Callithrix jacchus: one gene and its partners. The protein of the gene in region 1 purifies or fractionates together with the protein of each later gene. This does not show direct contact. Links are inferred from orthologs where the notes say so. Each region holds a gene or a part of one and is shown in the gene's direction. Other genes may lie near its edges. The genes, in order: KPNA1, ANP32E, SMARCD2, MAU2, NOPCHAP1, NCBP1 and MTA2.

The links.
Region 2: the proteins of KPNA1 (region 1) and ANP32E purify together in Homo sapiens (affinity purification with mass spectrometry; 4 studies listed by BioGRID and IntAct, with this or other methods). This does not show direct contact. The link is inferred for Callithrix jacchus from reciprocal best matches to the Homo sapiens genes KPNA1 and ANP32E.
Region 3: the proteins of KPNA1 (region 1) and SMARCD2 purify together in Homo sapiens (affinity purification with mass spectrometry; 3 studies listed by BioGRID and IntAct, with this or other methods). This does not show direct contact. The link is inferred for Callithrix jacchus from reciprocal best matches to the Homo sapiens genes KPNA1 and SMARCD2.
Region 4: the proteins of KPNA1 (region 1) and MAU2 purify together in Homo sapiens (affinity purification with mass spectrometry; 3 studies listed by BioGRID and IntAct, with this or other methods). This does not show direct contact. The link is inferred for Callithrix jacchus from reciprocal best matches to the Homo sapiens genes KPNA1 and MAU2.
Region 5: the proteins of KPNA1 (region 1) and NOPCHAP1 purify together in Homo sapiens (co-immunoprecipitation; 3 studies listed by BioGRID and IntAct, with this or other methods). This does not show direct contact. The link is inferred for Callithrix jacchus from reciprocal best matches to the Homo sapiens genes KPNA1 and NOPCHAP1.
Region 6: the proteins of KPNA1 (region 1) and NCBP1 purify together in Homo sapiens (co-immunoprecipitation; 3 studies listed by BioGRID and IntAct, with this or other methods). This does not show direct contact. The link is inferred for Callithrix jacchus from reciprocal best matches to the Homo sapiens genes KPNA1 and NCBP1.
Region 7: the proteins of KPNA1 (region 1) and MTA2 purify together in Homo sapiens (co-immunoprecipitation; 3 studies listed by BioGRID and IntAct, with this or other methods). This does not show direct contact. The link is inferred for Callithrix jacchus from reciprocal best matches to the Homo sapiens genes KPNA1 and MTA2.

The regions. Positions count from the first base shown.
Region 1 is NC_133516.1:80,579,128-80,582,778, forward strand, and holds part of KPNA1 (importin subunit alpha-5), read left to right. Parts: intron 1-1,381; coding exon 1,382-1,545; intron 1,546-2,997; coding exon 2,998-3,076; intron 3,077-3,651. UniProt on the Homo sapiens protein: Functions in nuclear protein import as an adapter protein for nuclear receptor KPNB1. Binds specifically and directly to substrates containing either a simple or bipartite NLS motif.
Region 2 is NC_133519.1:10,158,904-10,163,332, reverse strand, and holds the start of ANP32E (acidic leucine-rich nuclear phosphoprotein 32 family member E), read left to right. Parts: upstream 1-1,580; 5' UTR 1,581-1,906; coding exon 1,907-1,960; intron 1,961-4,429. UniProt on the Homo sapiens protein: Histone chaperone that specifically mediates the genome-wide removal of histone H2A.Z/H2AZ1 from the nucleosome: removes H2A.Z/H2AZ1 from its normal sites of deposition, especially from enhancer and insulator regions.
Region 3 is NC_133506.1:89,116,701-89,120,351, reverse strand, and holds part of SMARCD2 (SWI/SNF-related matrix-associated actin-dependent regulator of chromatin subfamily D member 2), read left to right. Parts: intron 1-1,812; coding exon 1,813-1,997; intron 1,998-2,185; coding exon 2,186-2,228; intron 2,229-2,377; coding exon 2,378-2,500; intron 2,501-3,651. UniProt on the Homo sapiens protein: Involved in transcriptional activation and repression of select genes by chromatin remodeling (alteration of DNA-nucleosome topology).
Region 4 is NC_133523.1:18,025,892-18,029,542, forward strand, and holds part of MAU2 (MAU2 chromatid cohesion factor homolog), read left to right. Parts: intron 1-424; coding exon 425-511; intron 512-1,914; coding exon 1,915-1,964; intron 1,965-2,192; coding exon 2,193-2,270; intron 2,271-2,362; coding exon 2,363-2,474; intron 2,475-3,651. UniProt on the Homo sapiens protein: Plays an important role in the loading of the cohesin complex on to DNA. Forms a heterodimeric complex (also known as cohesin loading complex) with NIPBL/SCC2 which mediates the loading of the cohesin complex onto chromatin.
Region 5 is NC_133510.1:107,923,192-107,926,842, forward strand, and holds part of NOPCHAP1 (NOP protein chaperone 1), read left to right. Parts: intron 1-3,055; coding exon 3,056-3,192; intron 3,193-3,651. UniProt on the Homo sapiens protein: Client-loading PAQosome/R2TP complex cofactor that selects NOP58 to promote box C/D small nucleolar ribonucleoprotein (snoRNP) assembly. Acts as a bridge between NOP58 and the R2TP complex via RUVBL1:RUVBL2.
Region 6 is NC_133502.1:145,796,575-145,800,225, forward strand, and holds part of NCBP1 (nuclear cap-binding protein subunit 1), read left to right. Parts: intron 1-1,272; coding exon 1,273-1,401; intron 1,402-1,999; coding exon 2,000-2,113; intron 2,114-3,651. UniProt on the Homo sapiens protein: Component of the cap-binding complex (CBC), which binds cotranscriptionally to the 5'-cap of pre-mRNAs and is involved in various processes such as pre-mRNA splicing, translation regulation, nonsense-mediated mRNA decay, RNA-mediated gene silencing (RNAi) by microRNAs (miRNAs) and mRNA export.
Region 7 is NC_133511.1:119,871,002-119,875,328, reverse strand, and holds the start of MTA2 (metastasis-associated protein MTA2), read left to right. Parts: upstream 1-1,483; 5' UTR 1,484-1,861; coding exon 1,862-1,889; intron 1,890-2,638; coding exon 2,639-2,706; intron 2,707-3,058; coding exon 3,059-3,152; intron 3,153-4,327. Other genes in the region: EML3 (echinoderm microtubule-associated protein-like 3), read left to right, coding at 39-137, 410-540, 638-841. UniProt on the Homo sapiens protein: May function as a transcriptional coregulator. Acts as a component of the histone deacetylase NuRD complex which participates in the remodeling of chromatin.

The DNA.
Region 1 (3,651 bases):
TGTATCAATCTCATGCTTTTGTGCCCTCATAGCTTACATCCCACTTATGAATGAGAACATCTGATGTTTGGTTTTCCATTCCTGAGTTACTTTACTTAGAATAATGGTCTCCAGTTCCATCCAGGTTGCTGCAAATGCCGTTGTTTTGTTTCTGTTTATGGCTGAGCAGTATTCTATGGTATATATATCACAGTTTCTTTATCTACTTGTTGATTGATGGGCATTTGGGCTGTTTCCATAATTTTGCAATTGTGAATTGTGCTGCTGTAAATATGCGTGTGCAAGTATCTGTGCACGTTTGTAGCAGTGGAATTGCTGGATCAAATGGCAGATCTACTTTCAGTTCTTTAAGGAATCTCTGTACTATTTTCCATAGTGGTTATACTAATTTACATTCCCCTTTTCACCACATCCATGCCAACATTTATCGTGTTTTTGTTTTTTTGAGACAGGGTTTCGCTCTTGTTGCCCAGGCTGGAGTGCAGTTGTGCAGCACACTGCAACCTCCACCTCCCAGGATCAGGCGATTCTCCTGCCTCAGCCTCCTGAGTAGCTGGGATGATGGGCACACACCACCATGCCCGGCTGATTTTTGTATTTTTAGTAGAGATGGGGTTTCACCATGCTGGCCAGGCTGGTCTTGAACTCCTGACCTCAGGTGATCCACCCACCTCAGCCTCCCAAAGTGCTGGGATTACAGGCATGAGCCACCACATCCCGCCTGTTTTGATTTTTTGATTATAGCAATTCTTGCAGGAGTAAGATGGTATAACATTGTGGTTTCAATTTGCATTTCCCTGATAATTAGTGATGAGCGATGAGCATTTTTAAATGGTTTTTGGCTATTTGTATATCTTCTTTAGAGAATCGTCTGTGTCCTTAGCCCACTTTTTGATGGGATTGTTTTTTTCTTGCTGATTTGAGTTTCTTGTATATTTTGCATATTAGAAGAAACAGGATTTTTTTTTGGTAGTTGTTTTTAATTTGGAATCATTTTTCACTGAATTCATCTTAAAACCCTAGCATTTTTGGTCTAAAGTATCTAAAATACAGAATTTCTTAGCTTTCACATTTTTGAAAGTTTCTTTACCTCTTTAGTCCACAAAGAATGTGTTTTGACAAGGAATCTCACTCCAAGAATTGATGTATATAAAACTTTATGATCTGAAATTAATTTCCTTGGGCTCTGACTACAAATTAGTGCAAGACCACTGACAGCATTGTTAAAGATGGAACTGCCACTTAGGTACTTGTTGTTTCTTGAGAAGTGTAAATCACTCAAGAAGTCACCAAATTTATGCCTGGCTGCCTTCTTGAGTATCTCACCTCACTTCTGGCTTCTAGTCTGTTGGATTTCATAATCATCATTTTCCTTTTATAGGTTTCCCCATGTCTGAATGTGCTTTCCTGGTTGCTGTTTGTCAGTGACACTGATGTACTGGCTGATGCCTGCTGGGCCCTCTCATATCTATCAGATGGACCCAATGATAAAATTCAAGCAGTCATTGATGCGGGAGTATGTAGGAGACTTGTGGAGCTGCTGATGTAAGATATGTTTTAGAAAGTGTGTTCACTTTTTTTCCCTTGGTACTAGTTTTCTAGCTACTAATACTTAAATATTAATTGATTGTATATTATATTGGTTTATTGTGCTTTGGGCTACTATTTTTTGTTACTTGTTTATGTTGATGGCAGATCTGTTTGTCTTGTTTTATTGAGGCTTATAGAGAACCTCTTACTCCTCTGCTGTTAGCAGGCCTTTAGCAGAAATATTTGGAAAACTCTGATCTGTGTAGTTACAGTCTCATACTGGATGACCCGAGATCAACCACTGGACATCAGAAGATACACTGCCAATAAAATAGTCATTCCTTATCTTTCTGTCTCATTTAGAGCTTATTTAAGACAAGTATCAGAAACTGAATCTTACTTTGGTTTATCACCTTTGTGCTGCTTTTGATAATGCAGTAGAAGATTTACTCGTTAAATAAATAATTTGAGACTGTCTTAATCAAATTTTTAGATACGACAGAAGAAAAAAGTGATAACATAATGGAGAAATGGTACAACTACAAGCAACTGGAAATTTAATTAAAGTACAAAATAGATGCGAGGAGACATTGTCTCAAACATGACATTTGGAATAGATTAGATAGTTATAATATGTTAATACAAAATACAACATTATAGCTGGCTGCAGACTGAATGCAGAGCAGTATTGTAGTGCTAATGTGAATGAATGGCAGGCAGTATGATGCTGCAGGAGTCAGTACATCATTCAAAATCTGGGAAGTAAACCTTTGCATTCTTTATCCATTAGACTACTATATATTTTAGCCATTTCTTTTTAATAATCACATCTAAAATGTGAAGGAACTGGCAGTTTTTAGATGAGTGATCAGCCTTATTAAAGGGGCGGGAAAAGTAGGACCCTTAAAGAAAATCAAAAGTTTGTGTGTGTGTGTGTATGTATAGCTTTGTGGAGGGATTTTCAACCAGTAAGGGAGGGGTTTTCAACCAGTAAGGCAGCTTAGTAGGTTTAGTTGAAAGACCTTTATATTTGGAGTGTGACTCCTGACTTGCATTTTCAAGTTAGTTCGGCTGTTGATGTGTTGTTTTTAACCTCTGTGAAAATTAAGACAATTTATAAAACTTAAAACATGTTGCATAAATATTAACTATTGTTCTCCGTTATCTCAGCAACCATACAAGACCAAGTAAAGAGGAAATGAAACCTAAATTAAAGAATGAGAGGGAAAACTTGGAATCCAGGTGATGGAATACCTGGGAAAGATTCCTAGGAAAGATTGGTAGTTTTTTCCAAATGTACTAAAATAAAGGGAAAGACAGTAGGGGACATGATAAGAGTTCCCTTAATTACCCCCATAGGTACCTTTCTGCTCTAAAATTCTATCATAATTTTTTTTAATTTTGGTTCTAAGGAAATGAGACTAAGGATAGAACTGTTGGCTATAACATTACTTTTTATTTTTTCAGGCATAATGATTATAAAGTGGTTTCTCCTGCTTTGCGAGCTGTGGGAAACATTGTCACAGGGGATGATATTCAGACACAGGTATGAAGAAGTGATAATTGTTTCTTTGTTCCTTTAAAAAGAGTACTACATTGGCTGGGCATGGTGGCTCACACCTGTCATCTCAACACTCTGGGAGGCCGAGGCAAGTGGATCTTGAGGTCAGGAGATTATGATCATCCTGGCCAACATGGTAAAACCCTGTCTTTACTGAAATACAAAAAATTAGCTGGGTGTGGTGGTGCACGCCTGTAGTTCCAGCTACTTGGGAGGCTGAGGCAGGGGAACTGCTTGAACATGGGAAGTGGAGATTGCAGTGAGCCTAGATTGTGCCATTGCACTCCAGCCTGGTGACAGAGCGAGACTCCATCTCAAAAAAACAAAACAAAAAAACAGTACATTGAACTTCATGATCATATTTCTATTATAGTATTTAACTTCATATTATTAGGGAAATTTGATACTGTGTTTCACTAATGTTTAAAAATATTGAGCCAGTGCAGTGGCTCATGCCTGTAATCCCAGCACTTTGGGAGACAGAGGTGGGTAGATCGCCTGAGCCCAGGAGTTTGGCACCAACCTGGGCAACATGGCGAAACCCTGACTCTACTAAAAAT
Region 2 (4,429 bases), on another chromosome or scaffold:
GCTGGGATTAAAGCATGAGCCATCGTACCCAGCCAGAGATGCCATTTTATACTAAAAACTCTTTTCCCCCTCTCTTCGCCTTCACAAAATTTCCTTTGCAGGGAATTCAAAGGAAACATTGTAGAGACAACCATCGTTTTGTTTTCCTTTAAAGCATTTACATTTTCTTTATTTATTTGAGATGGAGTTTAGCCCTTGTTGACCAGGCTGGAGTGCAATGGCTGGATCTTGGCTCACCGCAACCTCTGCCTCCCAGGCTCAAGCCATTCTCCTGCCTCAGCGTCTGGAGTAGCTGGGATTACAGGTGCACGTCAACATGCCCGGCTAATAGTTTGTATTTTTAGTAGAGATGGGGTTTCACCCTGTTAGTCAGACTGGTCTCGAACTCCTGACTTCAGGTGATCCACCCGCCTCGGCCTGCCAAAGTGCTGGGATTATAGATGTGAGCCACCATGCCCGGCCAAAAGATAATTCTTATTTTAATCTTTCATATCCCATCCCACATAGATAAACTTTTCTTCTTGTGTCTTGAACACCAAATTTGAATCCCCTGAGGGGTTCTGTACTGTAATACCAGGTCCATGCATGAAGTGGACAAGCAAGCTCCTAGTCCGTCTTCCTGCTTCAAAAATCCATATAATATATTGGACTCGGAGAGAAGATACATCAGATAGTAAACTGATAAGAACAGATTCTACACTTGATCTTAGCCAAAAGGCAGAGAAGGATAAACACTTTTAAAAGACTACTTTACCTACAGATTTCCATGGAAACCAACCAAAGGGAAATTAGACAGGCATTGCTGTGCCATTTCTATGCTAATTAATGTCTGATTTTCATTAGGCCAGCGTTGTTTTTTCCGCCAAGGTCTTAGTGTTTATTACAGCAACAATTAGCTCAGTAACAATTCCTCCAGGATCGTTTTATTTAAATATTATTAACGTACATACTTCACCCAGCTGCTTTCAAAATTGTTGTCTTTTACGGTGTTAAACTACCATCTTTAAAATCTCGGCTCTGGCTCTGCATCACGGAAGGTCAGGCTCTGTGAAAAGCCTGACCCCAGCAGGACAATGCCACGAAGTCATCTTTTTAATGTGATGCGCGCGTTGCTGTACACCTTGGCTGCAAAGCAGAGTCTGTGCTTTTAAAACGGCCAACAGCCGGTGCGTGCCATGTGGTGAATTATCAGTATCGCAACTTGGGCACGGAAGGATGCTTTCTCCCTCTTTAACACTAACAACAGAATAAGAAATAAAAAACCAAAAACCAACTCCAACAGGCAACAAAACCGTCCGAGTGCCTAGGGAAAGCGCGCCAACTACATAAAGAAAAGTAGGGGGGCTACTGGGATTCAAAATCATTTCTCCGGGACGTACACCCTCCTGGACCTATCGAAATTAACTGCGCGCTTGATCGTAGCCAATAGATACGGAGTTTCTGGTCCAGGTCCTCCCTGAAGACTGATAGACGTTTACATTGCCCAATGGAATCATGTGACGCTGAAGAATCAACCAATACGTTTGGGAGGTGGGTGGAGTGTAGGCCAGGGGGTTGGCGGTGCCGTGTCATGGAGGCTCAGTCTCTGAGCAGCCATTGAAGGAGAAGGAACTGCGGGTGTGTGCGTATGTGTGTGTGTGTGTATGTGTGTGCGCGCGTGCGTGCGTGTGTGTGCGCGCGCTAGTGTGTGGACAAGGAGGTGGGGGCAGCTTAGTTAGAGTCCCAACTCTTGGACTCCATTTGCTATTCTCTTCTTTCTCCCTCACACCTATCTGGTGGTAGTGGGCGTTTATATTTGCGTTCCTTTTCATTCATTTCTGAATCCTAAAAATTGTGGGTTGGGGGTGGTGGGAAAGGCAGGAAAGGGAAAGGAAGGAGAGTAGTAGCTGAAGAGCAAGAGGAGGACATGGAGATGAAGAAGAAGATTAACCTGGAGTTAAGGAACAGAGCCCCGGAGGAGGTGAGATGACTCAGCCCCCACCCCTTCCCCATCAGTCCTGTATTCTGAGGATCGGGTTTCTGGGGATCCCGGTGGATGTGCGGGGATGGAGTAATAAGTTAGCCCCCACCCCCCGGGGCTAGGGTTGGAGAATTGTTTAATTTTAAGTTTTAAATCATTAAAATCTTCTACTTAAAATGGCGAAGGGTTGAAGTTTCTAGGGGCGTTTTTGTGTGTGCATGGGAGCTTAGCTCCTTCGGCTTTCATCGAGTCGGGCGTCCGGGCCTCGTGGGGGCGGGAAGCGGGCTGGTGGGGGCGCTCCGCCGCTCGGCTCCCGGCGTTCCTCCTCCCCGGGGCCGGCGGCGTGGGCGCAACCCCCAGTCCCACTCGGCCCCTGCCGCAGCCATCGGCGCCTGAGAAGTTAGTCCAACTTTTCTGCAGTGCGGCCAACTCATCTTTTCTGGGGGTGGGCTCCCCCGGCCTCGAGGCCCTGGGCGTCCGACGTCGCGCCGGTGGCGGGCTGGGGTCGCTCGCAGGGTCCGCGCGCGGTCTGCTCCGGAGGCGCCCACTCCTCCGGGAAGCCGCGCGCACCGCCCGCCACCCGGCGGAATCTGGGTCAGCGGCAGGTTCTCCGACCGCGGGCGAGTTTGGGGACTCGTCGCAGTGACCGGAGGTGGGGAGGGGACGGGAGGTGTAATCCGCTTCTTCCCCGCGCGGTGCAACGACATTTGGCACGTCGTGTGGCCGCAACTCTGATCCCTGGAGACGGTTTCACCAAACTCAGCATAAAGGGACGTAGTAGTTTCGTGCTTCAAAGATGGGTTCGGCGAAACTAAATGATGCGCTCTCACTGCTGTCGCCTTAGTTAAAGAGACGGGGTTGGGAGGGGCCACGCGAGGCGGGGTCGCGGTCAACTTTTCTGGGGTCGGGCGGGAGGCGTTTCCGCCTCGTTTTCGCGGTTGCCTCCTGGGCCTCACCTACCCGGGGCGAACGCGGGACGGCAGCGCGAGCTGGGAGGCGACCCCTTTTTCCCCTGGGGAGTCTCCGCCCCCCGTGGGGTTTCCCGTCAGCCGGAGCGGCAGGTCGCGAGAGCGGGGCGGGTGGCCAGCGGGGAGGCTCGCGGAGGAAAGCAGCAGTCTTGCTGAAATAAGCTCTAGAATTGGAATATGAGGGAGGTGTGTAGAGCTGGACCGACCGATCGATAGCATATAACTGGGGTGGTGTCTGTGCAGACCCGCAGAGAAGATGAGCAAGCTCTGAGCTTTCGCGTCCGGCGTGCGGAGTGGGAACTCACACTTTTTAAATTTTTTTATTTTTAGGTCCCTGTTTTCCTGAAATTGGCAGGTGCCAGGGAGGGGATACGGGATATCAGGGTCATCCCGGAGAGAGCTTGTTTCTAGAGCTTATTATTAGAGGCTTCAGGAAAAAAACTCAAACTTTAAAAGCTGTCTCTCAGAAGCACACGTTTAGAATACTTTTTGGTGGCTTGGGTTGGAAAATTGGACACCCCCCGCCCCGCCAGGATTCTTTCACTTAGTGATTGTAGTAATTTCTTTGCCAGTTTTGGGGTGTTCAGGACGTTGCCGTTTTTCAGCTCCTTCCGCTCTGTTGTAATAACGGTCTCTTATATTTGTATAGACAGTTTACAAAGCACTTTTCCCGTTTGTTATTTACTTTCCTCCTTACTTGTAAGGTAGATTGTGTTGTAGATTCCAAATTAGCAGATGGGAGTCTCAGGGCGGTGAAATGAGTTACACAAGTGGAGGAACTGGTTTTCTGACACCAAATGTAGCAGCCCCCACCCCTCAGCTAAACGGAGTGGAGTCAGAACACTGAACCAGTACACAGCCCTGTCACAAACAAACTATGGGCCTAGGCATGTCATTCTTGACCTCTGGGCCATTCCTCCTCTCCAGAACGGAGCTCAAGATGCTCTCTCTGACCACAGAAATAATTTTCTCAGAGTCATATTCAAATAGAGAAGGTGGGATTCCTTGTTGCTAAATTTTAGCTCACAGATACCTCAAACAAGTTTTCGCCTTGGGTGTAGAGAACTACAGTCTTCGGCCTTTCCGTTAAAGATTAAGGCCATTCAGGCCTACACCAGGAAGTTTGTTACTACAACTCTTACCTAATAGGGAATTCAGCCCCACTTCCTCAGGAATGGGGAGAAGTGCACAGAAATGCTATTATACCACAGTGGTAGGGAGAAGTAACATTTTGTTAAGAATGTATTGTTCTGGGTGATACTGTTTGGCCTGGATGTGAGAAGAAATGACACCCTCTGGGCTGTTCCCAGAAGTTTTCTAACATTTCTTCATGAAGGGTAAGGAGGTTTCTTTTGAGTTATGATGGCATTTATCAACCAAAGGGAAGGGGGTTTAAACTAAAGAAGTGATTAAACAGGCTGGGTGTGGTGGCTCAAGCCTGTAATCCCAGCAGTTTGGGAGGCCGAGGCGGGTAGATCACGAGGTCAAGAGATCGAGACCA
Region 3 (3,651 bases), on another chromosome or scaffold:
AAGTCTGTGGCAGATGTCTGGGTGGAGCCTATTCCAGGCCTCGCCTGTGTGGCCTTGTCTTGGGACTTCCTGTTCCCCCTAGTACCTGGCCAGGAGGGATGGGTGGTGCTGCAGGTTTTGTGAAAGCCCCAGCAGGGAGCTTCTTGGGGGTCACAGGGCTGTCGCTCACACTCTGCAGGACCCACTGCTTCGATTTTCCCTGTCTTTGTCTCGGGCACTAGGAAAAATCTCAAGTCTGGGATGTCTGCACCCTGAGCTTACAACTGTAGCCACACTTCGTTTTTTTCTGTAATCTCAGGCCAGAGAAAGAACCATCCTTAAGGCAGAGAAAGAGGCTGTCTTGCCTTTCAACAGCTCTGATTAATCTCTTCCTGATGGAGAGAGACTTTGGCAGGACTCCCAAAGCCCCAGAGCCCCCCACTTTGAGCTTTATATTCTCCCAAACACTTCCTCCCACCGTGCTCCTGCTCTCCCCATCCTCATGTCTGTAGGTCATGTTTCTTTCCATCTCCACATCTGGTCAAGAATCTGACCCTCTGTGTTGGGAACATGGGTTTGGTGTGAGATGAAGAGGCTGGGGAAAAATCTCATCTCCTTGTTGCTGGGGTGGGGGAGGGTCCTTTGATTTGGTACAAGTCTCCACCCTCCTGGGCTTGGTTGGCTGGTTGTGCTCGTTGCATAATCTGGGCCCTGGGGCCAGCCCTGTGAAGCTGCCAGGGACAGTGTGTGCGAGGCAGAGCTGCCAAACAGGCCTTGCAGGCAGCAGCCATGGGAGGGAGGGGCGGAGGTGACTCTCAGATGGGTTCCACAGAAATGTTGGGGAGCAAGGCCTCAGGTGGGAAATCCTGCAGGCATCTAAAGAAACTATTTCTGTTTCCCACTTTCCTGTTGCTCAGCCTGGGCCTCTGATCCTTGCCTCCCAGGATCATTTTAGATCCCCTTCTCTAGCTTGGGATTGCCGGGGCTGCACGGAGCTGGAGCCAGTCATGGCTGTCAGGTGGTGCCTAGACCATGGGCAGAGTCCAGGTCCCAGCTGCTGTTTCCCACAGGCTACCCAGGAGCCATAGCTTCCCTTCTGGGGTCTTCTGGCATAGGGGTGGTAGTAGGGCAGTAGGGAGGTGAAAGGAGGGTCCAGTTCTGGGCTGTGGATAGGGGCTTCATGGTGACCAGACTATCCCTGTACCCTGCCTGAGGCCACCCCCACCAGCTGGTACACATTCCAAGCCATCCTGTTGCAGCCCTGCTCACCTGGGGTGCTGCTGCCTACCCGACCCCTTTCTCCCTTGGCCACAGAGGATAGGAATTGGGGCTCTGCCCGTTGGCCTGCTCATACCATAGTACACCCACCCCTCTGCCTGGCAGTGACACTGCCCCCATGCCTCCCAACTGTGCTTCTCCCTCATGATATGGGGGAAAGAGGAGGGCAGGGCTTGGTGAGACCATCTGAGGGAATAGGGACAGGCTTGTCCCAAGGAATAGGGCACAGCATGCTGGGGCTGGAAGGTGGCAATGGGCCCTGAAAAGCTCCCCTAGGCCCTTCCTTCTGCAGGCAGGACCCTCCTCCCAGCCCAGGTTCTGGCAGGCCTCATTTGCTGGCACAGCTGCCAGGGTGGTTGCAGGGGGCAGGGCAGGTGTGGTTTACACTCTGTGCTCAGGTGCCCGCTCCTCTTTGTTCCTGGTGCTCCAGCAGGGCTCTGACTTGCTGCTCCAGCAGGCCCGACCTAGGTGACGAGAGGGATGGAGGGCATGGGCTATGGGTCCCAGAGGGCCCTGCCCCTGACCTATGCATCCCCGTTGGCTCACTTCCCCCAGCGACCTGGCATGTCACCAGGGAACCGGATGCCCATGGCTGGGTTGCAGGTGGGACCCCCTGCTGGCTCCCCATTTGGTGCTGCAGCTCCACTTCGACCTGGCATGCCACCTACCATGATGGATCCATTCCGAAAACGCCTGCTTGTGCCCCAGGTGCAGCCCCCCATGCCTGCCCAGCGCCGGGGGTAAGAGCATCCTGTTTCTCCCACTCTACCTAACTCGGCTCTGGTGGTGGTAGAGGGTTTGCTTCTATCTTAAGAGCTCTGGTGACTGAGGAACTGGGGTAGAGGGTCCTGGAGACAGGAGGGGTGTTGGGGGGCAAGTGTCCTTTTTTGGACCATTGACCTCTTAAGTGGGTTTCTGTCCTCCCCAGGTTAAAGAGGAGGAAGATGGCAGATAAGGTTCTACCTCAACGAGTAAGTGTTGAGAGGAGGCCTGGAGGCCTGCCCAGTGGCCGCCTGGGGGTGGGCATCCATCTCCCTGAACCCTGGGCTGCAGGAGGAAGGGAGGAAAGAGTCAGGCTTTGGCTGAAGCGAGCTGATGAGCTCCTGCTACCTTCCTCCAGATCCGGGAGCTTGTCCCAGAGTCTCAGGCCTACATGGATCTCTTGGCTTTTGAGCGGAAGCTGGACCAGACCATTGCTCGCAAACGAATGGAGATCCAGGAGGCCATCAAAAAGCCTCTGACGGTATGTGTGGCCCTGACCGCCTCCAGCCATCCCAGGTTTCCTTGCCCTCCATCCACTTGTTTTCCAGGGGCCAAACGAGTCAGGCTAGAGCTGGTTTTTCACATGCAGGATGCAGCCTGCTAGTAAAGCCCAAACTCTGGAATGTCTTGGGACCAGTATGTTTCAAATGAATGTATGACAGTAGAAAATCTAAAAATACTTCTCAATAGTACTAACCATAGTAGTAAAGGTATTCTTTCATGAAATTTTTGTTTCAGATAAATATGCAGACCTTGGGTCATAATTGAAAATGTAAATCTTGGCTGGGCGTGGTGGCTTAAGCCTGTAATCCCAGCACTTTGGGAGGCAGAGGCTGGTGGATCACGAGGTCAAGAGATCAAGACCATCCTGGTCAACATGGTGAAACCCCGTCTCTACTAAAAATACAAAAAATTAGCTGGGCATGGTGGCACGTGCCTGTAATCCCAACTACTCAGGAGGCTGAGGCAGGAGAATTGCCTGAACCCAGGAGGCGGAGGTTGCGGTGAGCCGAGATCGTGCCATTGCACTCCAGCCTGGGTAACAAGAGTGAAACTCCATCTCAAAAAAAAAAAGAAAATGTAAATCTTATAGGTCGTAATCAAAAGTTTGAAAACTACTAGACTAGAAGATAAAGGTAGTTCCTTTCTCCTTTCCTATCCATAGAGAAGCTTTTCTTTTTTTTTTCTTTGAGACAGAGTCTCATTCTGTTGCCCAGGCTGGAGTGCAGTGGCGCAATCTTGGCTCACTGCAACCTCCACCTCCCAGGTTCAAGCTATTCTCCTGCCTCAGCCTCCCGAGTAGCTGGGACTGTAGGCACATGCCACCACACCCAGCTAATTTTTGTATTTTTAGTAGAGACGGTTTCACTATATTGGCCAGGCTGGTCTCAAACTCTTGACCTTGCAATCTTCCCACTTTGGCCTCCCAACGTGCTGGGATTACGGTGTGAGCCACCACGCCCAGCCTCTTGTTTTCTTTTGAGACAGAGTCTCGCTCTTTTGCCCAGGTTGGCGTGCAGTGGTGCGATCTTGACTCACTGCAACCTCTGCCTCCTGGGTTCAAGCCTCCTGCCTCAGCCTCCCAAGTAGCTGGGACTACAGACATCTGTCACCACGCCTGGCTGATTTTTG
Region 4 (3,651 bases), on another chromosome or scaffold:
AACCTCCTGAGTAGCTGGGACTTCATGAGTGCAGGCGCATGCTACCACATCCAGCTATTTTTTATATTTTTAGTAGAGATGGGGTTTCACCATGTTGACCAGGATGTCTCGATCTCTTGACCTCATGATCCGCCCGCCTCAGCCCCCCAAAGTGCTGGGATTACAGGCGTGAGCCACTGCTCCCGGCCTCAGGTTTTTCTCTTCTCTGTTCTCTAACTGCTCCGTAGGGCAGACAATGGTTTATAATGAGAAGAATTGATAACTGTGTTACCCTTGGGTATTGGAGGCAAGGCAAGTGTATTTGAAATGAAAAGAACAAGTCTTTTCTGAAGTAGTCTCCGTGGAGATTGTGGGTGGCTCTGACACTGCCATGTGGGTCACAGCACCCAGCCCAGCCTCCTAACGTCCCCATCTCCCGTTCCAGCTCACGAACCACCAGGAGCTGTGGGCCTTCATCGTCACCAACCTGGCGAGTGTGTATATACGGGAAGGAAATAGGCACCAAGAGGTAGTAGGTGACATGCTTCATGTTTGGTATCCTTTCTCTTCATTCTCTTCTTTTTGGGGAACCAGGGGGTTGTCCTGGGCACCAGCAAATCTCAGCAAACAGCACACCCCAGGGTGTTCACCTTGAGGGATGGGTGCACTTGACACAGAGGCACACAGGGTGACCCAGAGGTGGATCAAGGGAGGCCAGGTCTGGGACAACAACATTCCCATAGCCAAGCTATATGAATCCCACAGACAAAGTCTTATAGCCCAAGCATTCTGCTCTAGGATATCGACCAGGCCTTGAGGCCCAGCCCTAAGGGACAGCAGCTGGGGCACCTTGTCCCCAGGTTGTACTGGTTCCCCTGCAGGGTCGGGGCCCTCACTGGCTCCAGTGTTGGGTAGGGGCGCCCAGGGTTGTCCTCATAGGCCAAGCACTCTGACGTGGACTTCTGAGCCAGTGCTCACAAGAGTCAGGTTCCCTTTGCAGTTCCTCTCAGCCCTAGGATCCTCCATCAGCCCTGGGATCCCCCCCAGCCCTAGGATCCTCTTATCAGCCCCCAGGATTCCCTCTTCAGCCCTGGGATCCCCCTCAGCCCTGGGATTCCCTGTTCAGCCCTGGGATCCCCCTCAGCTCTAAGACATCCCTCAGTTCTAGTATTCCTTTCAACCCTTGGAGTCTGCCTCCAAAGTGTCTCAGGCCTGAGGCAGTGGCTCATGCCTGTAATCCCAGCATTTTGGGAAGTCAAGGCAGGAGGATCCCTTGAGGTCAGGAGTTAAAGACCTGGGCAATATAGTGAGACCCCCATCTCTACAAAAAAATTTTTTAAATAACCCAGTGTGGGTGTGCAGGCCTGTGGTCCAAAGTACTTGGGAGGCTGAGACAGGAGAATCACTTGAGCTAAGGAGGTTGAGGCTACAATGAGCCGTGATCCAGCCCTGACTGGGTCATCTGATGCCAGATGTGGGCTCGCAGTGTTGAGGAGGAGCCTGGCTCCCCTGAGCCTCTGCAGCCAGAGGGCATCTAAAATACTAGATCACGCCCCCATCAGAGCCTCACAGGGTCCCTGCACCTCCAGAGAAATTCCATTCACCCCCACCGGCCCACAGGGCTCATGGACCCCAGCCTGCCAATCTGCCCACTGCCCCTCAGCGTCACTCTGACCATACAGAGGCCTCCTGGACACCCAGGCCCCCGTCACCTACCACAGGACAGGGTGGCACAGGCAGGGCCAGTCGAGGGTGTGAGGGTCCTGCCCCTGGCCTTTCTCACCAGAGACCACTCGCTGGTCAGTCACCAGGCTCTACCTGGTCAGCCACAGTCCCTACAGGAGTGTAGAGAAATGCCCATGTACTGCAGTGCGTTGTGGGGACCTTTCCTCTGTGAAAATGCAGAGTGGTGCTGACTGGCTCTTCCTCCCCTAGCTCTACAGTCTGCTGGAGAGGATCAACCCAGACCACAGCTTCCCTGTCAGGTGAGCCGCTCTAGGCGCCACTCCACACATGGCCTAGGCTCCCTGTGCTCTTTGAGGTGGGGCCCCCAACTGCCTTTTGCACCCTGACACCCCACACCCCTCCTCACAGACAGTCTGCAGCAGGGGGCTCTCAGAAATCCCTCCCCCGCTGCCTGCCCACTGCCGTTTTTGTAAACCTGCTGCTTTATCTAAATCCCCACCCCACGTGACACTACACTCTCCCCACAGCTCACACTGCCTCCGAGCGGCTGCCTTCTATGTGCGCGGGCTCTTCTCCTTCTTCCAGGGACGCTACAATGAGGCCAAGTGAGTGCAGGGCAGAGGGCAGCGGGTGGGCTGTGCTCAGGGTGGCCCAGGCCCTGTCCTGCAGGTGTCAGCGTCTGCATTCTCCTTGTCAGGCGATTTCTGCGGGAAACTCTGAAGATGTCCAATGCCGAGGACCTGAACCGGCTCACGGCCTGCTCTCTCGTGCTCCTGGGCCACATCTTCTACGTGCTGGGAAACCATAGAGTGAGTGCCCTGGCCTGGGCCCCTTGCTTGGGTGCCTGTGGGGCTGGCTGAGGGACAGGAGCCAGCTAGCAGCCTAGGGGCAGCATGGCACTGTTCATCCTATGCCCCTTGAAGAGTGTGTCTAGGTGGGCACCCTGGCTGCCAGTCTGGGCAGGCAGGGGCAAGGGAGCTGGGTACCCACGGAGGGTGTGGGGGCAGGCAGGAGGCCCAATGGGTGTGGCCTCAGACATCGGGCAGGCAGAGCTCCAGGGGTCAGGGGAGCTGAAGCCAGGGCCAAAGAAGCTGCCCTGAGCTGGCAGGGATGACACAGGCACCCCATCCTGTGGACACCCAAGGGGCAGGGAAATTACCTCCTCTCAGCCAGAATCCCAAACATTTCCTCCTTGCCTGGCATGCAAAGCGTCCTCTCAGGGTACAAGTGCCCCCTGGGGTTGGTCCCTACCCAAAGCCAGCTGGTCTCTGACGGGACCAGCTGCCTCAGTCCTTCCTGTCAATTCCTCACCTGCTCTCACCCACCTGATCTCACAAGGTCTTGAATTTTCTTTCCTTTTTTTTTTTTTTTTTTTTTTAATTTTGAGATGGAGTTTCGCTCTTATGGCCCAGGCCTAAGTGGTACAATGACACCATCTCTGCTCACCACAACCTCTGCCTCCCCGGTTCAGCTGATTTTCCTGCCTCAGCCTCCCAAGTAGCTGGGATGACAGACATGCACCACCACGCCCAGCTAATTCTGTGTGTGGTTTTTTGTTTTTTATTTTTTTGAGACAGAGTCTCGCTCCGTCACCCAGTCTGGAGTTCAGTGGCACGATCTCTGCTCACCACAACCTCCATCTCCGGTTCAAGCGATTCTCCTGCCTCAGCTGCCCAAGTAGCTGGGACTACAGGTGCACACCACCACGCCTCAGCTAATTTTTTGTATTTTTAATAAAGATGGGGTTTCACCGTGTTAGGCAGGATGGTAATTTTGTATTTTTAGTAGAGTCGGGGTTTATCCATATTGGTCAGGCTGGTCTCGAACTGCCAACTTCAGGTGATCCACTTGTCTCAGCCTCCCAAATCGCTGGGATGATAGGCATGAGCCACCATGCCCAGCCTTTTTTGTTTTCTTATTGATTTTATTATTATTTTTTAGAGAATATTTTGGCCAGGCACGATGGCTCACACCTGTAATCCCAGC
Region 5 (3,651 bases), on another chromosome or scaffold:
GTCTCGATCTCTTGACCTCGTGATCCACCCACCTCGGCCTCCCAAAGTGCTGGGATTACAGGCGTGAGCCACCGTGTAATTCACTCTTAATGTTAAAAAAAAAAAAAGACAAGAATTCAATGAAAACTTATGTAAATAAGCGTGAAGGTGTCACATCAATAAACTAAGAAATCATGAGTACTCTGAAAGGGGAATTTAACCTTAGCATTATTTCTGTAGCAGTAAATCCATAATAGCTAAAATGACCTCATGGTGGCTGTCCATCCAAAAATCAGTTTTTGTGGATATAGGTTTTTGTTTTGAGGGGTTACATACTTAGGAGTGGGATTGCAGGTATATGGAAGGTGTAAAATTCTTTTTTATGAAGAAGAAATTGCCATTTTGCATTTCCGCCAGCAAGGTATGAGAGTTTATATGCTACACATCCTAATCAAAATGTGGTATGGTCTTTTTAATTTTAGCTATTCTAGTGCAGATATAGTGGTATCACGTTGTAATCTTAATTTGTTTCTAATGATTAATAATGTTGAGCATCTTTTCATGTGTCACTATTTGTGCATCTTTTTGAAGTGCCTGTTCAAATCTTGAATGCATTTAAAAAAATCAGGTTCTTATGGTAAACATCATTCGTAATAGTGCGGCTCTGCCAACAATAGACTTACCAGCCTTTGTGTTTCTGAGGAAGTCTTTATTTTGTTTTCAGTTTTTGGAAGATGCTATAATGGATTTAGAATTCTAGGTTGACAGTGTGGTGTTTTGCTTTTTCTTTTTTTTCTAGTACTTTAAAGATGTCTTTTCAGTGGCATTGTTTCTGATGCCAGTGTCTACTGTCATTTTGTGTCATGAATATGGTGTTTCCTTTTTCCTCTGGCTGCCTCTAAGATTCTCTTCATCACTGGCTTTTACCAATTTTATGGTGAGGTGCCCTTTGTAGTTTTCTTTGTGCGTCTTGAGCTTGGGTTTGTTGAACATACTGGATCTATGAGTTTATAATCTTTATCAAATTTGGGGAACTTTTTAGAGATTATGTTGTTGTTGCTCCCGTCGTGCCTGCTTTGCCTCTCCCAAAGGGACTCCAATTACACCTAATTTTGCCAGTTAAAGTTGCCCCACAGCTCGTTGATTGGGTATTGCATGTTATGTGTTTCAATTTGGATAGATTCTATTGCTGATTTTCTTGAGTTCACTGTTCTTCTATATTGTCTAATCTGTTAATTCCATCAAATATGTTTTTTCAAGATAGATACAGTTTCCATCTCTAGAAGTTTGAGATGTTTACATCTTCTGTTTCTTTCCTTGGGTTTGTGCTTTGCTTTTCTTCCTTAAACATATAGAGCATATTTGTAAGAGCAGTTTTAACATTCTTATTGCTGATTCTGTCTGTATCATTTCTGAATCTATTTCTATTTTTTTCCCCTACTCTTTATGTATTTGGTTTTCCTATCTATTTGCATGTTTGGTAATTTTTTATTAGATGCTGGACATTTTGAATCTTATGGTTTGTATGATGGATTTTATTTAATTTAGAAGAACTACAACTGGACTAGCCTCAGGGTTCAGCATATACTCTCCAAGAGTACCATGGAAATATTTGGCTTCTGAGAATCACGGTTCAGGCCACACATTTTGGTTCTTGTTTTGCTCTACTTGATTCATTAGTTGGAAACAAAACAGAACCAGATTTTCTATCTCTAGCAATAGATTTAAATCTGAGGACAGAGAAATAACTTTATTTTTATCAGTAATTTCTCTGTCTCTCTGAAGGGGAATAAGAGCTACCCTTCACTATTGTGTAGGGCTTTGTTTGTGAACATGCTCTTGGGGAGTCCTTCCAGCACCTTATTTTACAAATAAAGGTCATCTACTTGACCTTGACCACCACTTTATTTCTTCTTCCATACTCTGGACATTTTAGTCATCTATTATGTAGCCATAGCACTGACATAAGTTTTGAGAGCCTGTTATATGCATGGTTATGTGCTGGGCCTCTTTCGAGAGAGAAAAATAAATAAATATCCTTAGTTCATTGATTGCTCTGTACTTGGCACAATGGCTGACAATTATCACTCCTCTTTTATAGATTAGGTTTCAAGTGGTAAAATTAAATAATTAAATGTATTAATTAGGACTCTTGGTTGCAAATGACTAAAATCCAGCTCAGATAGCCTTAAGCAAAAAAAAAAAAAAAAAGAAATTATGTTGGCTGTTTTTATTGGGGAAAAAAACTCCAGGGGTGGTGATTTCAGGTACATCTGGATCTAGGTGCTCAAAGTCCTCAGGGATCAGCCACTCTGTCTCTTATTTCTGCTTTCCTAGTGTTGACCTAATCTAGGGCATGCTCTTATCTCAGGTGTGGCAAGTTGCCAGTTTATCAGGAGCTTCAGCCTTATATTCAGCAACTCAGTCAGTCATTCAGCAAGATTTCTCTCTCAACAGATCAACAAAAGGCCCTGAGTTAACTTATTGGCCCGACTAGAGCGTTGTGTCACTGGTATGCCACTAAAGCACATTACAGTGACTAAGGATATGGAGGATGTAGGCATGTATGGGGTGAGGGACAAGAGTGACTAAAAGTGACACAAGCTTAAAAGGAAAGCCGGGGTTATATGATCAGAAGAAAGGGAACAGATGTTGGGTAGGCAGAAATAACCACTACTTAATTAGCAGGCCCAAGGTAATTCAGATAGAGGTAGAACTAGGATTCTATATATAACCTAGTCAGTCTTACTCTAAAACCTCAGAACCTGGTACTCTTAACTGTTAAGCCACACTGCCTCCCTATTTAGTTACTGTTTGTTGAATGCCAGCCTTCTAAGAGTTTACGGTCCTGGGGATATATGAGAAACATAAAAACATTTGAAAACAATTTTTTGCTGAATTGTATTGTCCTACTGCTTTATTCAGAAGAGGATGAAGGGTTTTTCAAAGAAGGGAATTAAAAGATATATAATTATGGTTGTTATTATTAGTACTCAATTCAGAAGTGTTTATAGGAAATCCTGAGTTTCAGAATTTACTGGCATAAATGTTGATATACTGTATTTACTTTCCACAGTGTTGGATCAGGTACAGACCTTTCTCCCACAGATGGCACAGGCAAATGAAAAGCTAAGAAAAGAAATGGCAGCTGCACCACCTGGTCGTTTCAACATTGAAAACATTGATGGGACTCATGGCAAAGTTATACAAATGGTAACTGCTTTGTTTTCATATGGTGAAATTACTAGTTCACCTTGCTACCTGAGAAGAAGAGAGAACTTTTCCATTTTATTTTCAAGTGTCATTTTCCTGGTGTTAGCTCATGTTTCGAATGTTGTATAGGTACATAGTCATTTTATGATTTAGTCATATGTCATAGGAGGGTTTTTTTTTTCCCCAAGTCAAATATTACATTTGTTATTCTGAAGCATTAATTTGCTAAATGTCCTAACTGGATTTTTTTCTGTCCAAGCTCCAAAAGAGGTAGTTATAGTCTGATTTATTCAGTATATAAAAATAAATGATGTGTGGAAGAGAGCAATTGATTACATAGGCTCTGTGTAAAAATGTTCTCTCGTTTATACTCATCTCTTGTTTCTGCACTGGAATTCTCTTTATAATATCTCTGCCTGGACAGAGCTGAGACAGTTGTGAATAATATGTAATTCATTA
Region 6 (3,651 bases), on another chromosome or scaffold:
GACACAGGGAAGTTGAGTAACATAGCTAGTAGGTTGCATAGCTAATGACTGAGCTAGGTTCTGACCCAGGTCTGTCAGACTCCAGAGACTTTCTCTCATGCCACACTGTTTCAGAAATGTGCTGTCCAACCCAGTAGCCACTAGCTGCATGTGACCGTTTTAGTTTAATTAAAATTAAATAGTTTAAAATTCAGTTTTTTGGTCACACAACCACATTTCAGGTGCTACGTAGTAACATGCGGTGGCTCTTGTAAGAGGCTGTACATATTTATAAAACGTTTGCCCTGTTGAAGAAAGGTCTGTTAGGTAGTAGTACTCTAGAACCTTACCTCAGAGTGGTCTTAGGAAAAGACAGTCATGTACCCAAGTGTCTAGAACGTAAAGCAGACCTCATAAGCAGGGGCTGAGTTTATAGAGAGAAAAGCAAGATTCTATGACATCTGAGAGTGGGGTTCTGATCATTTTGCTTAAAGCATAGAGGAGACCAGTAGGTGGGCCCGTAACGGTATCACCTCAAAGAATTTCCCGGCTTTCTAGATTCAGTGATGCCACCTTCTTGTTGAAAGTAACTTGGTATGTAACACCGAGAGCCCTGTTCTGGCTCTGCCACTTTCAGGCTGGGTGATACTGGGAAAGTCATCTAACCTCTCAGCCTGTTCCCTTCTCTGTAAAATGGAAGTAAACCATGGCTTGTTTTTCTTTTCCTTTAAAAAAAAAAAAAATCAAAATGCTGTAAAGTCTTCAGAGTGAGCTAGGAGAGAATTATTAAAGCTTTACAGGAGTATATTGAACCCATGATTGCCAGCAGAAAGTCTTAAACAGCCACTTTGAATTATTGTATGTCATTTCTAAACTATGTAGCTATTTCTAAATTATGACCAGAATGAGCAGCCTTGGTGCATAGGACTGGCCCAGTTTTTTTATATGGCCCATTAGGAGATGAATGATAAGCAAGCTGCCTCTTTGTTGTTACTACTCAAACGGCCAAATAGTGATAAATTAGAGCCAAGTCCCCCACATTGTTACCAAGAAAAGTGCCACAAAATTTCCCTGGCCTAGATAAGAACCCATGGAATTTGAGTGAGAAGATAGTATCTCTGAACCACAACAGGACTTTGAGGTATATATGTGTGGGTGGTGGAGTGGGGGATACTTTTACTACAGAAAAGCCTTTAACATTTGGCCAGCCACAATAAAATCCTTCCCCTGGAGGGGATTTCATACACTGGAATTCTAAATGGTATTTTCCTTTTGTTCCCTTGCCTTCTGTAGCGAAGTGATGATGATGACAGAAGCAGTGATAGGAAAGATGGGGCTCTTGAGGAACAAATAGAAAGACTTCAGGAAAAAGTGGAATCTGCTCAGAGTGAACAAAAGAATCTCTTCCTTGTCATATTTCAGGTATCTTGGCTTGGGACATTTATACATAAAAAGAAACAATGCATTTTTTTAGTTTTTAAAAATACTATTTTTAATTATAAAAGGAATACACACTCATTTATAGAAGAGATTAAAAATATAAAAATTTGGAAGTAAATAAAAGTTCACTACTCAGGCAACTATGTATGTCTCTGAGTTTCTCAGCTGTTTACATTCTTGCATGAGCATTTCTTCATGCTTTAAAACAAAATTGTGGGTTGCTGTTGTTAAATACATCTCATTTAATTATTCTCTTTGCTGATCATTTTTTTTCCATGAACATTTTGATACATAGATTCCTGTTAACATTTCTGATTATTTTGTTAGAATAGATGTCAGGAAGTAATATTACTAGGATAAGTAATTTAAGACATTAAAGGTCTTTATGTATTGCTAGGAACTATGTACCAACTCATGTTATTACCAGTCTGCCTTAGGTTGACTTAATGAATAATGAAAGTTAGGAGCACACACCACAAAGACAGGGTGGAACAAGCAGTAGTTTGGAGTTTCTTTGTCATGAATTTTTTTCCAAAGATTCTATCTCTAGTACTACCTTAACTTCCTTCTCCCTTTCCAGCGGTTTATCATGATCTTGACTGAGCACTTAGTACGATGCGAAACTGATGGGACCAGTGTATTAACACCATGGTATAAGAACTGTATAGAGAGGCTGCAGCAGATCTTCCTACAGGTACATGGAGAACTTCAATTAGATAATAAACAGCACTATTCACAGCCACAAAGATTTTTGATTTAAAACCAATCCTTGTCAAATTTGTGAGGAGGTTTCATAGTACCTACCTGTTAGACCCTTTAGTTCATGTCCATTTGCTGCTACCATTGCTCATCAGAATATTTAGGCTTAAACTGATTCTATACCACTTAGATTCCTAATGCCCCTCCCCCACTCGCTTTTTTTTTTTAAGATTGAGTCTCTGTTGCCCAGACTAGAGTGCAGTGACACAATCTCAGGTCACTGCAACCTCCACCTCCCTGGTTTAAGCAGTTCTCCTGATTCAGCTTCCCATATTGTTGGGATTACAGGCACCTATCACTACTCCTAATTTTTGTATTTTTAGTAGGAACAGAGTTTCACCATGTTGGCCAGGCTGGTCTTAAACTCCTGACCTCAGGTGATCTGCCTCGGCCTCCCAAAGTGCTGCTGGGATTATAGGCATGAGCCACAGCGCCCAGTCTCCTACTTGCCATTTTCTATTCTAGGGATTCTAGCTATAATATAAAATGTAGAGGACAAAAATGTCAAGAGGACAGTCATTGGATTTATAAGTCCCTAAAAATCCAGTGTTCAGATGATAAACAGTGTCCACAGAATCAAGGTAAGCTCCCTAGGGTCTCTCTGCAGAAGCAACCTATTCTCACCCAGATTTAAGTTAAAGATATATAGGAAAGTGGAACTAATTGTGTCTTCAGACACTACTCCCTTACGTCTTCATTTGTTCATTCTAGGAGAATGATTAATGTAGAATTCATTTTTTAAATTTATTTTTTATTATACTTTAAGTTCTGGGGTACACGTGCAGAATGTGCAGGTTTATTACATAGGTATACATGTGCCATGGTGGTTTGCTGCATCTGTCACCCTGTCATCTACATTAGGTATTTGTCCTAATACTATCCCTTCCCCCCTTTTTTTTAAGTTCAATTCTTTGAGCTTCCAAATAGGAATTCCCTATTTTTTATTTATTTATTTAGGAATTCCTGATTTTATATTACTGCCAATTTTGGGGGTTTTTGTTTGAGATAGATTTTTTCTCTTGTTGCCCAGGCTGTAGTGCAATGGTGCAGTCTTGGCTCACTGCAACCTCCACCTCATGGGTTCAAGTGATTCTCCTGCCTCAGCCTCCCAAGTAGCTGGGATAACAGTTATTACAGGCCTGCACCACCACACCCAACTAATTTTGTATTTTTAGTAGAGACGGGGTTTCTCCATGTTGGTCAGGCTGGTCTCGAACTCCTGACCTCAGGTGATCCACCTGCCTCGGTCTCCCAAAGTGCTGGGATTATAGGCGTGAGCCACTGCACCTGGCCAGTTACTGCCAGTTTTAAAAGCTTTCCCAGTGTCTAGTCCTGTAAGAATTTGAGTATATTAATGGCTTATAGAGGAACACACAGAGTATTTCAGGCCGGATACTTTTGCTCACGCCTATAACCTCAGCACTGACCAACATGGTGAAACCTTGTCTGTACAAAAAATACAAAAATTAGCCA
Region 7 (4,327 bases), on another chromosome or scaffold:
ACTGAGGGCGGGGTGAGAGCTGAGCTCCTTCTCCCCAGGGGATGTGGCTGGAGGCTGCAAGCAGCTGAAGAATCGCTATGAGAGCCGAGACCGGGAGTGGGCTACGTACACCTGTGTGCTGGGCTTTCACGTCTACGGTGAGCAGGGGCGTGGAACCCTGCTGGAGGGGCGGGGGACAAGGTGGAGCCCAGTTTGGGCTCGAAACGCTGGGCGTGTGTCGTTGGGTGGGAGTCCAGAAACCTGAAGATCCAGCCCAGGAGGCCCCCCCCCCCCGGCCCTCGGGACCGGGAAGGCTTGCCTGGAACGCGGCAGTGGGTGGCCGTGGCTGCCGGAGCGCCTGAAATAGTGCAGCTCTGGGCCGTGGGTGGCAGTGGGGAGGAGGTCGGGCTGAGGCCGGCCGCTGTGCTAGGCGTGTGGCCGGACGGCTCCGATGGGACCGACATCAACTCCCTGTGCCGCTCCCACAATGAGCGCGTGGTGGCGGTGGCTGACGACTTCTGCAAAGTGCATCTTTTCCAGTACCCGTGTGCTCGTGCCAAGGTGAGGCCGCAGGGGCCTCCGGGGCGGGGTGGGGCGGGACAGGACGGGTGGGCCCGAGGGCTCCGCCGCCACCGCAACTCCCTTCCCTCCTGTCCAGGCGCCGAGCCGCATGTACGGTGGCCACGGCAGCCACGTGACCAGCGTCCGGTTCACGTACGACGACTCGCACCTCGTCTCGCTGGGCGGCAAGGATGCCAGCATCTTCCAGTGGCGAATGCTGGGAGCAGGGGGCGCGGGGCCAGCGCCCGCCACGCCCTCTCGAACCCCCTCCCTGTCCCCCGCCTCCTCCCTTGACGTTTGATCTCGGCCTGGCGGACCAACTGGCTGAAGGCGTGGACCCGCCCCGCCCCGCCCTAGTTCCTTTAGACCCGGGGCTGACTCCTCGACTGACTTCCAGACATTCCCGATCGCGCATTTCCCTGGAGGGCGCGAACGGCGCCCCTGCACACACTGTTTAGACCCGCTGGCTGAGCTGGGCAGCCCCAGCCTAGGCCTTGACTCCCGCTGCCTGCTGAGGGGCAATAAACGAGAACCAAAGTCGCCTCCCGGTGCTTTTGTGGGGCGCTGCTGGGGGCCTCCGGGGCCTTGTGGGGTGGGGACGAAGGAAAAGAGGCGTGCGGAAAGGGTAAGGGAGCGTAGACCATTTATGCAAATAACAGGCAAAGCCGCTTGCAAATAACCTGGTTAAGCGCGAAGGCGCGCGAGTCTTTCGGGGCGGCAGGAGAAGCTGCAGGGACCCAGCGAGTACACAGTTAAGTCCGACTTCTCTCCCGCCCTCGGAAAAATGGGGTGGGTCCGAGCTGCGACGGAAATAGCCGAGTGCCGGGCCGCTGTTGGCCGACAGGAGCCGAACCTCTTCCGGAAGTAGCCGATCTGCGGGGTCTCGCTCTACGACCTAAGCCGAACGGTGGGCCTTGTTCTCCGGATCGGCCGAAGGTGTTCCGGAAGGAGGCGAACCCCGAGGCGGGCCGGGCAAGCCTTCCCTGCGGCCGGCAGATCCCAACGACTAGTGGGACTCGGCGGGGGCGGGGGTAGCTGGAGCTTAGCTCTGGCCTGGCAGGAGCCGAGCTCGTTCCGGAAGAAGCCGAGCGGACCGGGGCCGGCCTCAGCGTCCCGGGAGTGGGGCGATATCTGCCGCGGCGACAGCGCGGGCCGGGATGAACCGCGACGGCTGAGGCAGTGGAGGTGCCGGCTGCGCGGGCCCCACTGAGACTCCCTTGAAGCTACAGCCCCACGCTCGGGGCTTTGCCTCGAGCCGAGCCCTGCCTCCGCGAGCCTTCCGGACCCCTTTGTGCGGCCGGAGGCGGCGGCGGGAACGGCCATGGCGGCCAACATGTACCGGGTGGGGGGTGAGTACCGGGCGCAGGGGTGCGGGGCCCGGGGCGGGAGATGTTGGGGTCGGGACCGGAGGGACTCCGCACCTGGTGGCGCGGGGCGCCGCGTCTGGGGCAGCGTGGACCCGAGCGCGGACCGGAACCGGAACCGGGAGACTGGGAGCGGGGAAGTGAGGGTGCGGGAACGGCGACCGCGACGCGGCAGGGTGCCGAGACTCCCGGAGAGAAGCTGCGGGCAGCCCCGACGGCACTCTCAGGGCTGCGTCGGGGGCTCCCCCGGGTACAGAGTGGGCTTTGGAAACTGGTTCAGAAGGAGCTGACCTGGTAGGGAGGCGACGCGAGGGGCTGGGGCGACGGCTTTGCCACCGCGGGGGAGCCGCCCGGAGATTTCCTCTTCCCAGGCGTTATTGTGCGCCTCGGTTCGAAAAGGTGGGGGCCCAGCGCCAGCGTGAACAATGACTTCGCCGCGACTGGGCTGCAACTCATAGCTGAGTTGTGGGGACGCAGGGGAACCCCTGCTTCTTGCCTGTTCCTTAAGGCTCACTTTTCTGTGAAGGATCCGATTTTAGAACTAGGCGTGGTGGGGATGGGGAACATCCTTATTTTCTCTTAGTCTTTCCACTTTCACATCTCAGCGCCCTCTCTACCTGGATCTTTATCTTCTTTTGGTCCACTCAGGCCAACTTTCTCTCCTACTCTCGTGCTCTGTGTCTCCCGTCTCGTCCTCTGATCTTCGTGGTTCTTCCCCCTCCCCTCCCTTACAGATTACGTCTATTTTGAGAACTCCTCTAGCAATCCTTACCTGGTTAGACGGATTGAGGAGCTCAACAAGGTGAGTGGAGCAGAATCCCTCTCCCTCCCTCCCCCAGTGGTCTCTTTCTTCTGAGGTTTCTAACTTCTGGTGGAAGAGAGGACTCTATACTAAGTATCTATTCATATTCATTCATTCATTCATTGGATGTATTCAGGAAAGGCTATTGAGAGCTTAGCAGGAACTTACTATTCTGTCTCTTGGGGGCAAAGGAAAGGGATTTGGAAGTCTGTCCTTGAATGTAAGTCTTTACTCCTATTTTCTTGGGATTTTTTATTTAGGTTCCTCTGAAACTTACTGTTATTTGTCTCTGTGCATTTCTGTACCCAGATGATCAATTTTTCACTGCTACATTTTTTTTTTCTCTCCTTAGACTGCAAATGGAAATGTGGAGGCAAAGGTTGTCTGTCTTTTCCGGCGCAGGGACATTTCTAGTAGTCTCAACAGCCTGGCTGATAGTAATGCCAGTGAGTACCTTCATCTCTTTCTTTTCCCCCTCCCCATGATCTGAGGCCTGGGCATGTCCCTGCAGGAGTTTCTCCTGGTAGCATGCCCAAGGCAGAGGTGTGAATTTAGGGGTGGGAAATACCTGGTCTGAGGAGGGAGGCCTGTTTTTACACGTTGGGGTTGGAAGCAGGGTGGAGAGATTGTGATAAGGAAAGCTATAATATGGTTTGTGTATGAGTGTAAGAGAGAGATGATAATGTTTATTTAGGGGATGAGGATGAACTTCAGAGAAGCAGAATGCTTTTCTAAAGGGGGACAGTTTGGTGTACATTAGAACAGTAGGTGGTGACTGAAGGTCAAGGTGAAGAGGAAGAGATTGTTCTGAGAGGCCCGCATAACAGGGAAGTAGGCTCATTTTGTAATCACAAGGTGGTGGGAATACCTGGAAGCTGGAAGATGGTAGGAAAGTTTTCTTGTACTTTTCATTTCTTACCTCACCCATTTCCCGGCCCCCACTCCATTTTACATCTTTCCCTTTTCATTTTGCCCTGTCTTCATTCTCTTTAAGTTCTCATCTTTTTTTTTAAAAAAAAAAAACAACACAAAGAAACATGTTTTCCTCAGCTTCTTTTTCCTTTCCTGCTTTGATTTTCTTTCTCCTTCCTTTTGTTCCACCTTTCTAAATTTTCCTTTTTCAGACTGTTCTGGGTGAGAAGGGGTTAAGAAGGATCCCGGCTTACCAAGTTCCTTGGCCCTTTAGGGTTTCCAGCCCCATCTGGCAGGGGCTGACCTTGGCCTTGTCCAATCAGAATGAGTGTTGGGGGTGTGGTCCCCCTTGCCTTAGCACAGGGTTTCCGGAGCACATAGGCCAGGGGTGGAGCCTACCGCACAACCCCCCTTCTCCCTGAGGTTGGGAACAATGCACCAATGAGCCTGGGCCTGAGGCTCTTCTGTCCCCTCCCACGTTGGTTGGCGCCTAGCCAGGTTAACCCCTTCCACAAGGTTTCAGGGCAAGCTGCAGCTCCTTGGGGAGGAAGGTGTTGCCACTAGCTTGAGAGGTCTTGTCCTTGAAAACCCCAGGAACTATTATTAGAAAATGAGGGATAGTTAGGGCCACATGTGATGTTTTAGAGCAGAATCTCCTGAAATTGAAAATAACTGTAAATAGTCTTGTGTGATACTTTTTCATTTTACT